Tribolium castaneum: one gene and its partner. The protein of the gene in region 1 binds, or shares a complex with, the protein of each later gene. Links are inferred from orthologs where the notes say so. Each region holds a gene or a part of one and is shown in the gene's direction. Other genes may lie near its edges.

Evidence for each region. The genes of interacting proteins can lie anywhere in the genome.
Region 2: the proteins of eIF2Bepsilon (region 1) and eIF2Bgamma are in contact, whole or in part, in a cryo-EM structure (PDB 7VLK), measured with the Homo sapiens proteins. The link is inferred for Tribolium castaneum from reciprocal best matches to the Homo sapiens genes EIF2B5 and EIF2B3. Residues at the interface, in NP_003898.2 of Homo sapiens: Pro190, Val202, Arg222, Arg223, Phe224, Ala225, Phe226, Pro227, Leu228, Phe231, Gln232, Ser234, Ser235, Asp236, Gly237, Val238, Glu239, Val240, Arg241, Tyr242, Asp243; in NP_065098.1 of Homo sapiens: Arg155, Phe157, Glu178, Glu179, Leu180, Val181, Ile182, Lys183, Gly184, Leu187, Gln188, Pro191, Arg192, Ile193, Arg194, Phe195, His196, Thr197, Gly198.

Annotation. Positions count from the first base shown.
Region 1 is NC_087402.1:10,482,546-10,487,824, forward strand, and holds the start of eIF2Bepsilon (translation initiation factor eIF2B subunit epsilon), read left to right. Parts: upstream 1-1,983; 5' UTR 1,984-2,063; coding exon 2,064-2,159; intron 2,160-2,204; coding exon 2,205-2,329; intron 2,330-2,376; coding exon 2,377-2,568; intron 2,569-2,621; coding exon 2,622-2,799; intron 2,800-2,853; coding exon 2,854-3,098; intron 3,099-5,279. Other genes in the region: zinc finger protein OZF, read left to right, coding at 107-250, 299-725, 777-1,448, 1,497-1,777. UniProt on the Homo sapiens protein: Acts as a component of the translation initiation factor 2B (eIF2B) complex, which catalyzes the exchange of GDP for GTP on eukaryotic initiation factor 2 (eIF2) gamma subunit.
Region 2 is NC_087395.1:21,890,552-21,895,325, forward strand, and holds eIF2Bgamma (translation initiation factor eIF2B subunit gamma), read left to right. Parts: upstream 1-1,851; 5' UTR 1,852-1,990; coding exon 1,991-2,147; intron 2,148-2,193; coding exon 2,194-3,011; intron 3,012-3,061; coding exon 3,062-3,291; intron 3,292-3,337; coding exon 3,338-3,494; 3' UTR 3,495-3,538; downstream 3,539-4,774. Other genes in the region: Unc-115a (actin-binding LIM protein 3), read left to right, coding at 1-72, 123-236; transcription elongation factor 1 homolog, read right to left, coding at 1,320-1,452, 1,506-1,621. UniProt on the Homo sapiens protein: Acts as a component of the translation initiation factor 2B (eIF2B) complex, which catalyzes the exchange of GDP for GTP on the eukaryotic initiation factor 2 (eIF2) complex gamma subunit.

The DNA of each region.
Region 1 (5,279 bases):
GACCAACAGTTTTGTGACAGCTGTGACCCACCTTTGTTTATGTGTCTTAAATGGGGGCTTATTCAGCTTAAAATAGCGAAAGTTGGGTTTCATTTGAAGTAAGATCATGTCAGACCCAGATTCTGTGAAATTTGTAACAGATTTCAATAAAATTTGCCGGACATGTCTTTCAGAAAAAAATAAGGAAGATTTGTGTTCTCTATTTGATAATTCTCTTGATGTGATTCTTACAAATTTAGCTGAAATAAATGTAAACAACCATTTAGAAATAAACAGGCAATGAAATAATCAATTTTAGGTTAGAAGGGACGACGGTTTGCCCGGTTTTATATGTAACGACTGCATTTTCACTTTAAATTTATTTATAAGTTTTAAAGAGCAATGCCAGAAGGCAGAGTCCCAACTGAGGAAAGCTCTGTACACTACGCCGGAGATTTACGGCGAGTACAAAACTGTAACAGTATTAGGTGACAACATTTCCACTATTATTGAATTCAAGAATGACTCTGTGTTAGACAATCGCGACAAAATCATAACAGTGAGCATAAATGAGCCCCAAATTGTAAATAGCGACTTGCAAATCGATAATCCAGTTACAACGGACCCCCTGAAATGCCCCAAATGCGAGCGTTCTTTCAAACTTGAATCCACTCTAAAAACCCATTTACTAAAACACGAAAAAAACCAAAAACTGAAGTGTGAAATTTGTAATAAAGAGTTTAATCGTGAGTGAATGTATCACGTTTGATACAAAAAACCCAATTAATTTTTTCTAGTGGTTACACAATTCAAACATCACGTGCGCACCCACACCAATTACAAACCCTTTTCTTGCTCAAAATGCGACAAATCATTCGCATTATCGTCAAGCTTGACTAAACACATGCGAACACATGGCGGCGAACGCAAACACTTGTGTATCACCTGCGGGAAGCGGTTTTTCGAACCGGGCCACCTTAACGTAAGTAGCACCTTCGGTACTTCCCCCATAACGCGCCCATTCAAGATTCACATGCGGACACACACCGGGGAAAAACCGGTTATTTGTAACAAGTGTGGTAAGAGATTTACAGACCCACACGGGCTCATAGCCCACAACAAAATCCACACCGGCGAACGCAAATACGAATGCAACACTTGTGGGAAAAAATTCGCACATTCTTTCGTGCTTAAGGCGCATAAAAGGGTCCACACCGGGGAAAAACCGTACGCTTGCACTATGTGCAAGGCCGCCTTTGCGACGTCCTCGTACTTAACGATTCACAAAAGGACGCACACGCAAGAACGGCCCTACAAGTGCGAATGTTGCAGTAAGGCTTTTATCAGTCGGTGTGCTTTAGTAGCACACATGAGGACACACACAGGGGAGAAGAAATTCCAGTGTTCGGTTTGTGGTAAACGCACAGGGCGGGCCGCTGATTTACAGATACATATGAGGTCACACACTGGTAAATCCCCAACTGTGGTTTGACTAATAACAATTCGGGTTTTTTTAGGGGAAAAACCCTACAGTTGTGACTTGTGCCCGAAAAAATACCACACTTCGAGTAACTTAGCGGCGCATAAAAGGACACATCTGGGGGTCAAAAACCACTTTTGCGCCGTTTGTAGCAAGGCTTTTGGCGACTTGAGGACCCTTAAGTGTCACATGAGGATACACACGGGGGAAAGACCGTACATTTGCGGGGTGTGCGGCAATAGGTACACCCAGTCGGGACAATTGGCCGCACATAGACGCACGCATGATGTTTACATTGATGTAAATACTGTTACGTAAATAAATCACTGAAAACGACTGGAATATTTATTTAGGGAAGCCCCCCGATCACGCGCCCCCTGGTGGCGGCGTCGGTAATTAACAAATCGCCAAAATTTTGAATTTTGATCAATGTAATGTGAAAAAGCCGCAGAAAAATATTTTGGTAACACCAGGCGATAGGGTTTCGAGCTCTGCTCCGAAAATGCAAACAAATCGCTAAAAAAAGTGCGCCCTCTTGCGTCACTTGTTGTCAGTCGAGTTTGTGACTGGTGCTAACCTAAAAAATCAAAATTTTTAATTAAAAATGTCGATTAAGAGCAAAGACGATATTATTCAAGCCGTGGTTGTTGCTGATACTTTTGGAGATGAGTTTTTGCCACTTTCGTCCGACATCCCTCTGGTACGCTAAAAGAAAGATGATGCAATCGTTGATTTTTTTCTTTAGGCACTTTTCCCTCTAATTAACAGACCTTTGATTGATTATACTTTGGAGTTTCTGTCTCTGGGAGGCATAGAAGAGACCTTTTTGTTCTGTTGTTCACACACAGACGCTATAAAAGCCCACATAAAGTAGGGATACGCCCCAGTCTGTGCTCTCTTAATTCTTGTGTTTTCAGTCAGAGTGTTAAAGACAAGGCAGGATGGAGTCTCACGATGAAAGTCAATGTTATCGTATCGGAAAGTTGCCACTCGTTTGGCGATTGTTTGAGGGATTTGGACAGGAAGGGGATTTTGAGAGGGAATTTTGTTTTGTTGGAACCCGGGACTTTATCCAATATTAAATTGTTGCCAATTGTTAAGAAACATAAGTAAAGGTGTTAGACTTGTGTTAGGTACTTTTCCCTATAATTTGTGCTTGCAGTGAGGTTGCTAATAAGGACAAGGGGGCTGCTATGACTGTAATTTACCAGGAGGCGGGGATTGGGCAAATGGGGCGCGACTTGAACGAAGAAGTCGTCGTTGCTGTCAATAATAACAATCGGGTTTTATTTCATAGAAAATTGGGGCAAAGCAGAGACAGAAAAATTGAATTTCCTTTAGTACGTCCTAACTTGTCCAAATTTTTTTTTTTTTTCTAAAAATTATAATTACAGGAAATTTTTCTGGAAAATTCAAACGTGTCGCTACATCACAACCTCAAAGACACACATATTGCAATTTGTTCTCCGTCAGTTTTGCCTCTCTTTTCCGACAATTTTGACTTTCAGTCTAAAGACGATTTTGTCAAGGGTTTACTAATGAATGAGGAAATCCTCGGGAGTACGGTGTATTGTCACGTGACGAAAGGCAGTCACTTTGGAGGGGCTATTACCAACTGGCGGATGTATCAAGCAATAAGGTATTTTTTCAATACAGAGGATTAAAATATGAGGTGATAGGTGCAGTATGAAAGTATTAAAAAAGTAATTAATTCACCACATCCGAGCTGATTTAGATTATTCGAATAAAAAATAGGAAAACGTTTGGAAAAGTTATTAATGCCCAAAATTCACACATTTTTGCGTTAAGTTTAAATTAACGAAAAACAAGTTAGCTCGTTCTAACTCGTTTCACCTCATACTTTTAGTTTTCCGTATTTAAAATAGAGCGAATTTGCTAAAAGTATTTTTTACTACTAGCTGTTTTAAAACTATAAAAACGCCAACGTCGCATTTTTTCTTAAAATTAGCTGTTATAATATAAATTATTTCTGTACTTATAAAGAATAATAGCTAATGTAGTCTATACTTTCAATGAGAGATCTAATCATTAATAACTATTTTACAATTTTATCAATCTTCTTAAAAAAATAATTCGGTCAAAGTTGGCGTTTTTATAGTTCTGAAACAGCTATTATATTTCAAAAATTAATAGACGCACAGTATTCAGAATTTGGTATTAACTGTGGTTTTAAATTATATTGTTCAATATGCAGTGTTTTTTTGAGAATTTTTCTTGTGATTAATATTAATTAGTAATTAAAAATATTAATTAATTGAAATTGATTTGTAATGTTATTCGCTCTCACCTAAATACGTTTATTATGGGATCAGTAGTATTTTTTTACCAGTTTTTTGCCCAAAATAACATTTAAGCATTGCTTGCTTTAAAATAACAAGAAATAATATTTTTGTGCGACTTAATTCATTAATTAATTTTAATTATAAGGAACTGTAGAAAATTCTGAAAAAAAAACAGATGCAAAGAGAAACATACAGAGTGAGTTTACGGTGAAGCATAAAATTTCACACCTTGCTACGGCTTATTCAAAAAAAATTAAATAAAATCGTCAAACAGGTTTTTTTATAAATACTACACTTTCATTTTACCTCGTAATTTATGACGTCACTATTCTTTGAGAAGTTACGTTTTTTTTAATAAGAACTGACATTTTTATGTTGAGTTTTTTATAGTATGCTCCTTTATTTTTCTGGTAGGTACAAAAAAATCAAAAAAAAAGAAAATAATAAATAAAGAAAAAAGAAGTTAAAAAGGGTTAATTATAAATAATAATAAAAGCGGTCGCCTCTTACAAAATAAGGTAATAGCAAAAATATTAGACCTTTTGCGTGAGATTATAAAAAATAGATTTAATTTTTTTTATTAAGCCATTCCATATTAATGTACGGAACACTACAGAAATTTTTTGATTTTATTTTTAGTTTTTATGAACATTATCAGCAGAAGTAAATTTTTCTTTACAGGAGCTTAGTACCAGTCCAACTGTTTGTGACTTTCATACGTTTGTGAAATTTGAAATACAAGGTAACGACTTCTGATTAATTTACTTTCTGTTTACACATGACGGACGCAACAAAAGAATCATGTGTGTAAAAATAGCTCTAAAAAAATTATTCAGGCAGGTTTTAATTATTAAAAACTTCAACAATATCAAAGTTACACAGTGGAAATTAAAAATTATTGGTTTTGTTTAACGACGTAAGAAATAAGAACATTTATATGCTTCTAATAATGAACGAGACATCAAAATATACGAAGATATAAAAGTAATATTACTATTCAATTTACTTACCGATTTTCATTTTCTAAACTTCCAGAAACTAGAAAAACACTCAAAAATTATTCACAACTGTTGTTGTACTTCAGCTGTCAACAGTATTTTATGTTATCGCCTACAAGGTATGTAAATTTTAGAACCCACTGAATTACTTCAATTTATATTATTATCCTCTCCCATTTTAAATCCATAACAAAAAAACTCTCGTCGCAAAATACATAAATATAAATCGAATCGTGTATTTTGAAAGAAGCTTTAAATACTAAAATTATTTTGGAAATTTCGGTGTCAGTTTGTATTTTTTCTGGAATGGCTGTATTATTTCTTACTATTAAAAATAAATAAAATTGACGTCATTACTCAAAAACCAATGACATCATAAATGTTGCTATGGTGTCAAAATTGATTTTTTTTTTTGAAACTGACCCATAACAGAGATGTAAATTTTATGCGTTATTTTCAACTCACTTTGTCCTATAATCCTATAAAGTGTTTAATAATACCAAAAGCTGATTTCTGTGT
Region 2 (4,774 bases), on another chromosome or scaffold:
ATCTACCCTTACCACTTGCTTGTGATCACTAATTACAGACTGCCTTCTGATGTCGACAGATGCAATCTTGAGGTAAAATACTTTTTCCGATTTTGTGACCAGATGATTGGAATTTTTTGTAGCGACATCTGTCGGACGCCGAGTTCGAGGCGATTTTCCAAGTCTCGCGGACCGACTTCTACCGACTACCCCAATGGCGCAGGAACGAACTAAAACGTAGAGCTCGCTTGTTTTAAACTCTTCATGTGCTACTAGATGCTGCTTGAGTGCTAAACCACCACGCTAAGGCTGCTATACACTGCGATGTGTAACTGGTTTTCTTTGAGTGTTCCTTGATTCATTTACCGACTGGATCATTCTTCGCCATAGTTTAAGTTGACAAGGTTTCTGCGAAATGTGCTAGAGTAGCTCTTGGTTTCCTTACGGATTATTCCAACTAGATAAAAAACAATATTTTTCTACTGATTTGAACTATTATAATCTGTATTGTATTGGTGAAAAAGAGTATCTTGGAAGATTCAACAATTTTTTAATCATAGGACAAATTGGCTATATTCAGAGATTGATATTTTTTCTATAGGATAAGTGTATAACTAGGTAGTGCTAAGATAGTTGAAAGTTATTTATAAAAACGGCATTTAGATTGCTTTAATTATTGCTTTGGGCTAGTCGTATATTCTTTTGTACATTTGTTAGTGCTGTCAAGGACTTTGTGGTACCTTTTATTTCTGGTATATTGTTTTAAACCCAAATTCATTTTCATGAGTGTTTCTATTGTTACAAATTATTTATTTATTCTCATAAAATAACGATTTTAAAGCTTTAGGTATCTAAGATTTGTTAATAATTGCTCTGATAAATAAAAAACTTTTAAATACGACTTGTTTACTTTTTATAGCCACTCGTTTAAGACATTTTTTACCACCACCCATAATATTAAATGGGCAAACGCCTGAAATTTTGACACATCGACTTGAATTATTTTTTCACTCCAAAACCGAGACCGATACAAAATTTTTATGTTACAAATTGTTCAAAAGAACTGGGTCTTTCAAATAAAAAAAATTAGACCACTCGATTAACGTGTAACAAAAATATTCATTTTCATAGTTGTTTCAATTGTTACAAATTATATTTATTCTCATAAAATAACGATAACGCTTTAGGTGTCTAAGATTTCTTGTTAATTGATCTGATGAATAAAAAACTTTTAAATATGACTTATTTACTTTTAAAACCACTCGTTCAATACATTTTTTCCTAGACTGATATAATAAAAAAGTGTTATTTGTACCTAATAAAACATTTACATAAAAACCTCAGTTAGCAGATTCACATGCATCTATCCAATCGTTGTACACATCCACAGGCTCTGATAAAAAATTGATAGTAGTTTGGAAGTCTTCAAGACACACTCGGCACGTTATCCTGGCCGTATTTCGACCCTTATCCCTACAAACACACACATTACCCCATAAAACCCAACGGTTTATAAAAACAATCACATTTTAACATCGCACGATTTTTCGTGGTTGCAAAAAGGGCAGTTGAACTGCTGGTCCAGGGGCTCCACAGCTTTGCGTTTCGGCGCCGGTTTTCGCTTCGACTTGCGGCGCCCCATCACAAGACACTAAATTACACACAAAAAAAGTTTTCAACACAAGTTGGCCCCAAAATTTACAAAAAAACCGACCCGACCAAAATAAACAGTTTTTGCGCAAAGTTGACGTGTGACAGTAACACCAACGTGGTGGCAAAAACTGAGACAATTTGAGCGTAATTGCGAGCTTAATTAATATCACCGGGTATTAAGTTCCGACCGTGTTCACGATTCAGTCTTGAGGAATGCGCTAAAGTTTTATAAGGGGCTCAAATGAATTATTTTTATTTAGCGTAACAATTTGTTATGTTGGTGCCTCTGTCATTGGTGTGATATAACCACACATTTGTTGCAAAGTTTTGTGACATATTTTTGTGTGTTTTTGCAAGAATGTTTCAGCCCGAGTTCCAGGCCGTGGTCCTGGCGGCCGGCCGGGGCTCCCGCATGCCCGAGATCACCTCCGGCAAGCCCAAGTGTCTGCTGCCCGTGGGGACGAAGCCCCTCGTTTGGTACCCCTTGTACAAGCTGCAGCAGTCCGGTTTCACAGGTACGTGCGCTGGCCGTTCGAAATCTCATAATTACCAGACTTTTAGACGTAATTCTTGTCGTGTTAGAGAATCACAAAAGCGAGATTCAGGCCACGCTTGACAAAAGCGAGCTTGAGATCAAAATCGACTACTTCCCCGTTAGCGGGAAGGAGGACTTAGGCACCGCCGACTCCCTCAGACTCCTCCATGACCGGCTAAAGTCCGACGTTCTTGTAATTTCGTGCGACTTTATCACTGATTTTAGCCTAAAAGGCGTTTTGGACGTGTTCCGAATGCACGATGCCTCGGTCGCGTCTTTGTTCTTCCACCCTCACGGGGGCGAATTAACAATCCCGGGCCCCAAGTCCAAACACAAGCCGGAGCGCGATTTGGTCGGGATTGACGCGCAAACAAACCGTTTGGTGTTTTTAGCGTCCGCGAGCGATTTCGAGAGCGAATTATCGCTACCGCGCTCTTTGCTCAAGAAACACACTCATGTTAAAATGTACAGCAATTTGGTCGACTCGCACGTGTACGTTTTGAAAAACTGGGTGGTCAAATATTTGAACAGCCAGCCGAACTTTACAACAATCAAGGGCGAGCTCTTGCCCCACATTGTCAAAAAACAGCTCTCCAAGCCCCCGAAAGGGGCCGAGGGCAAGTCAATAGTCAGTAAATGCGACAGCGAGGACATTTTTAATTACGCGAAAGAGGACCCTTTCAGTATTATTATAAGGGAGTCCTCGTCCTACAACGACCATATCGGTGACTCCAAACCCACGTATCACGGTGATAGCATCCGGTGCTACGCCTTGATAGCCCCCCGAGACTCGTTCGGGGTGCGAGTCAACACTTTAGCGACGTACTGGGCCGTTAATAGCAAAGTACGTGGTAGTTCGCCCGTTGTGAGCCCCCTTGAGAGTGTGCGTTGCAGGTCAGCGAAAGGTGGGACAAAATCACAAATGGGCTAAGCCTCGTCCTCAGACACCCCAAAAGTGAGATTAAATCGAGCCAAGTGGACGATAAGTGTGTTGTTTGGGAGGGAGCCAAACTGCACGAGAAAACCTCGTTTAAGAACTCGGTTATTGGGGCTAACAGTGAAGTTTGCAGTTTTTCGAGGGTTTTTAATTGCATTGTTATGAATAATGTGACGATTAAGGAGAAGTGAGTGGGTTTCCATTGTGTGGCCTGTGTGGCAATTGTGTTTCAGGGTGGCGTTGGAGAATTGTATAGTTTCGGATGGAGTGACGATCGAGAAGGGGTGTCAGATTAAGGGCTGCTTGATCGGCAGTCACCACTTAGTGCCCGAAAATTCGGAACATAGTCAAGAGGTGCTCACGGATTCGGACCGCTTGATGGAATTCTAATTTTTATTTTTGTACATAATTTACGAATAAAATACAAATGTGAACTACTTGGTTTTTTTCGGTTTCGTAAGCAAAAAATCGTCTATTTGCTAATTGATTCTGTGGTTAAAATTTGGCAAATAGCAGGCGAAAAGTGCTAAAATATTCGGCAAGTTTTTACGATGTCTATTTAGCGAAATTCTCGAAATCCATTCGGGTAAAGTTAATTTTGGGTTTTACGTATGTTGATGGTCGGCAAAGTTCATAAATGCGTCATCGAATTCTGGAAATATCTGCATTTGCTTTCGATCGATATTAAAGGAGCTAATATTCGAGATTTTGTGTTCGGTGAAATGGAATCCTTTACGTATTCACTTTTTTGCACAAAAAATAAGACGATAAGAGTTTGCAAATTTTCCTCAATCTTAGTACAAAAAATGAAGAACACGCTTAATTAACGACCTGAGTTGCGAATAGAAACGGTGACGGTGCAGTAGTTGCCAAAAATAAGTACTTTTTCACATTTTCAAAATATTTATAAAGGTCCGTTTTGGAGAAATTATTGGAAGAAAATATAATTTAATTAAAAAAAAGTGTAAGTCAGAAAATAGTAAAATAAATACGAGTGCATAGTACTAAGAATATTAATTTATTATGCTAATAACTCGAATACTAATACTAATAGAAAAAAAAATAAAAATAATATATGTTTGAAAGAGGTTCAAACTATAATTTTTTGTTCATGGATGTAGACAATTAATTTACTCGCATGGATTATTACAAATCCTTGTTTCTCACTAGCAAGTTGATAAAAACAAATCAAGAATTATTTCTAAAATACTTGCAGAACTTAAATTATACTTCTGAAAATTAAAGCTTTTACGAAAATTTAAAATTATTACTTATTACTTATTACTTATGGTACAATGTGAATAACGACGAATTTATGCACTTAAAAAAAGTTTAGTTTTTGAGTGGATAAAATTTTTGTATTTACATAAATTATACGTACAACATTTTTTACAATTCCTATTAATAAAAATGACACCCGCCTGGATTAAAGTTTAATTCTGTTTCTGTAAATAGATCATGAACATTATTAAAACAATAGTTTTGGCAAAAGTTAGAGAAAAATGAAACAAAACAATGAATACAATGTTAATTTTTTTATTTTGTGCGTGCTGTAAATAACAGTGTGAATAAAAGTTTTGCTGTAAACATTCAATTCATTCTTTCGATTCATTTTATTTGTCCTTTTGATTAAATTATTGTATTGATAATAAGATTTAATATGTAAAATG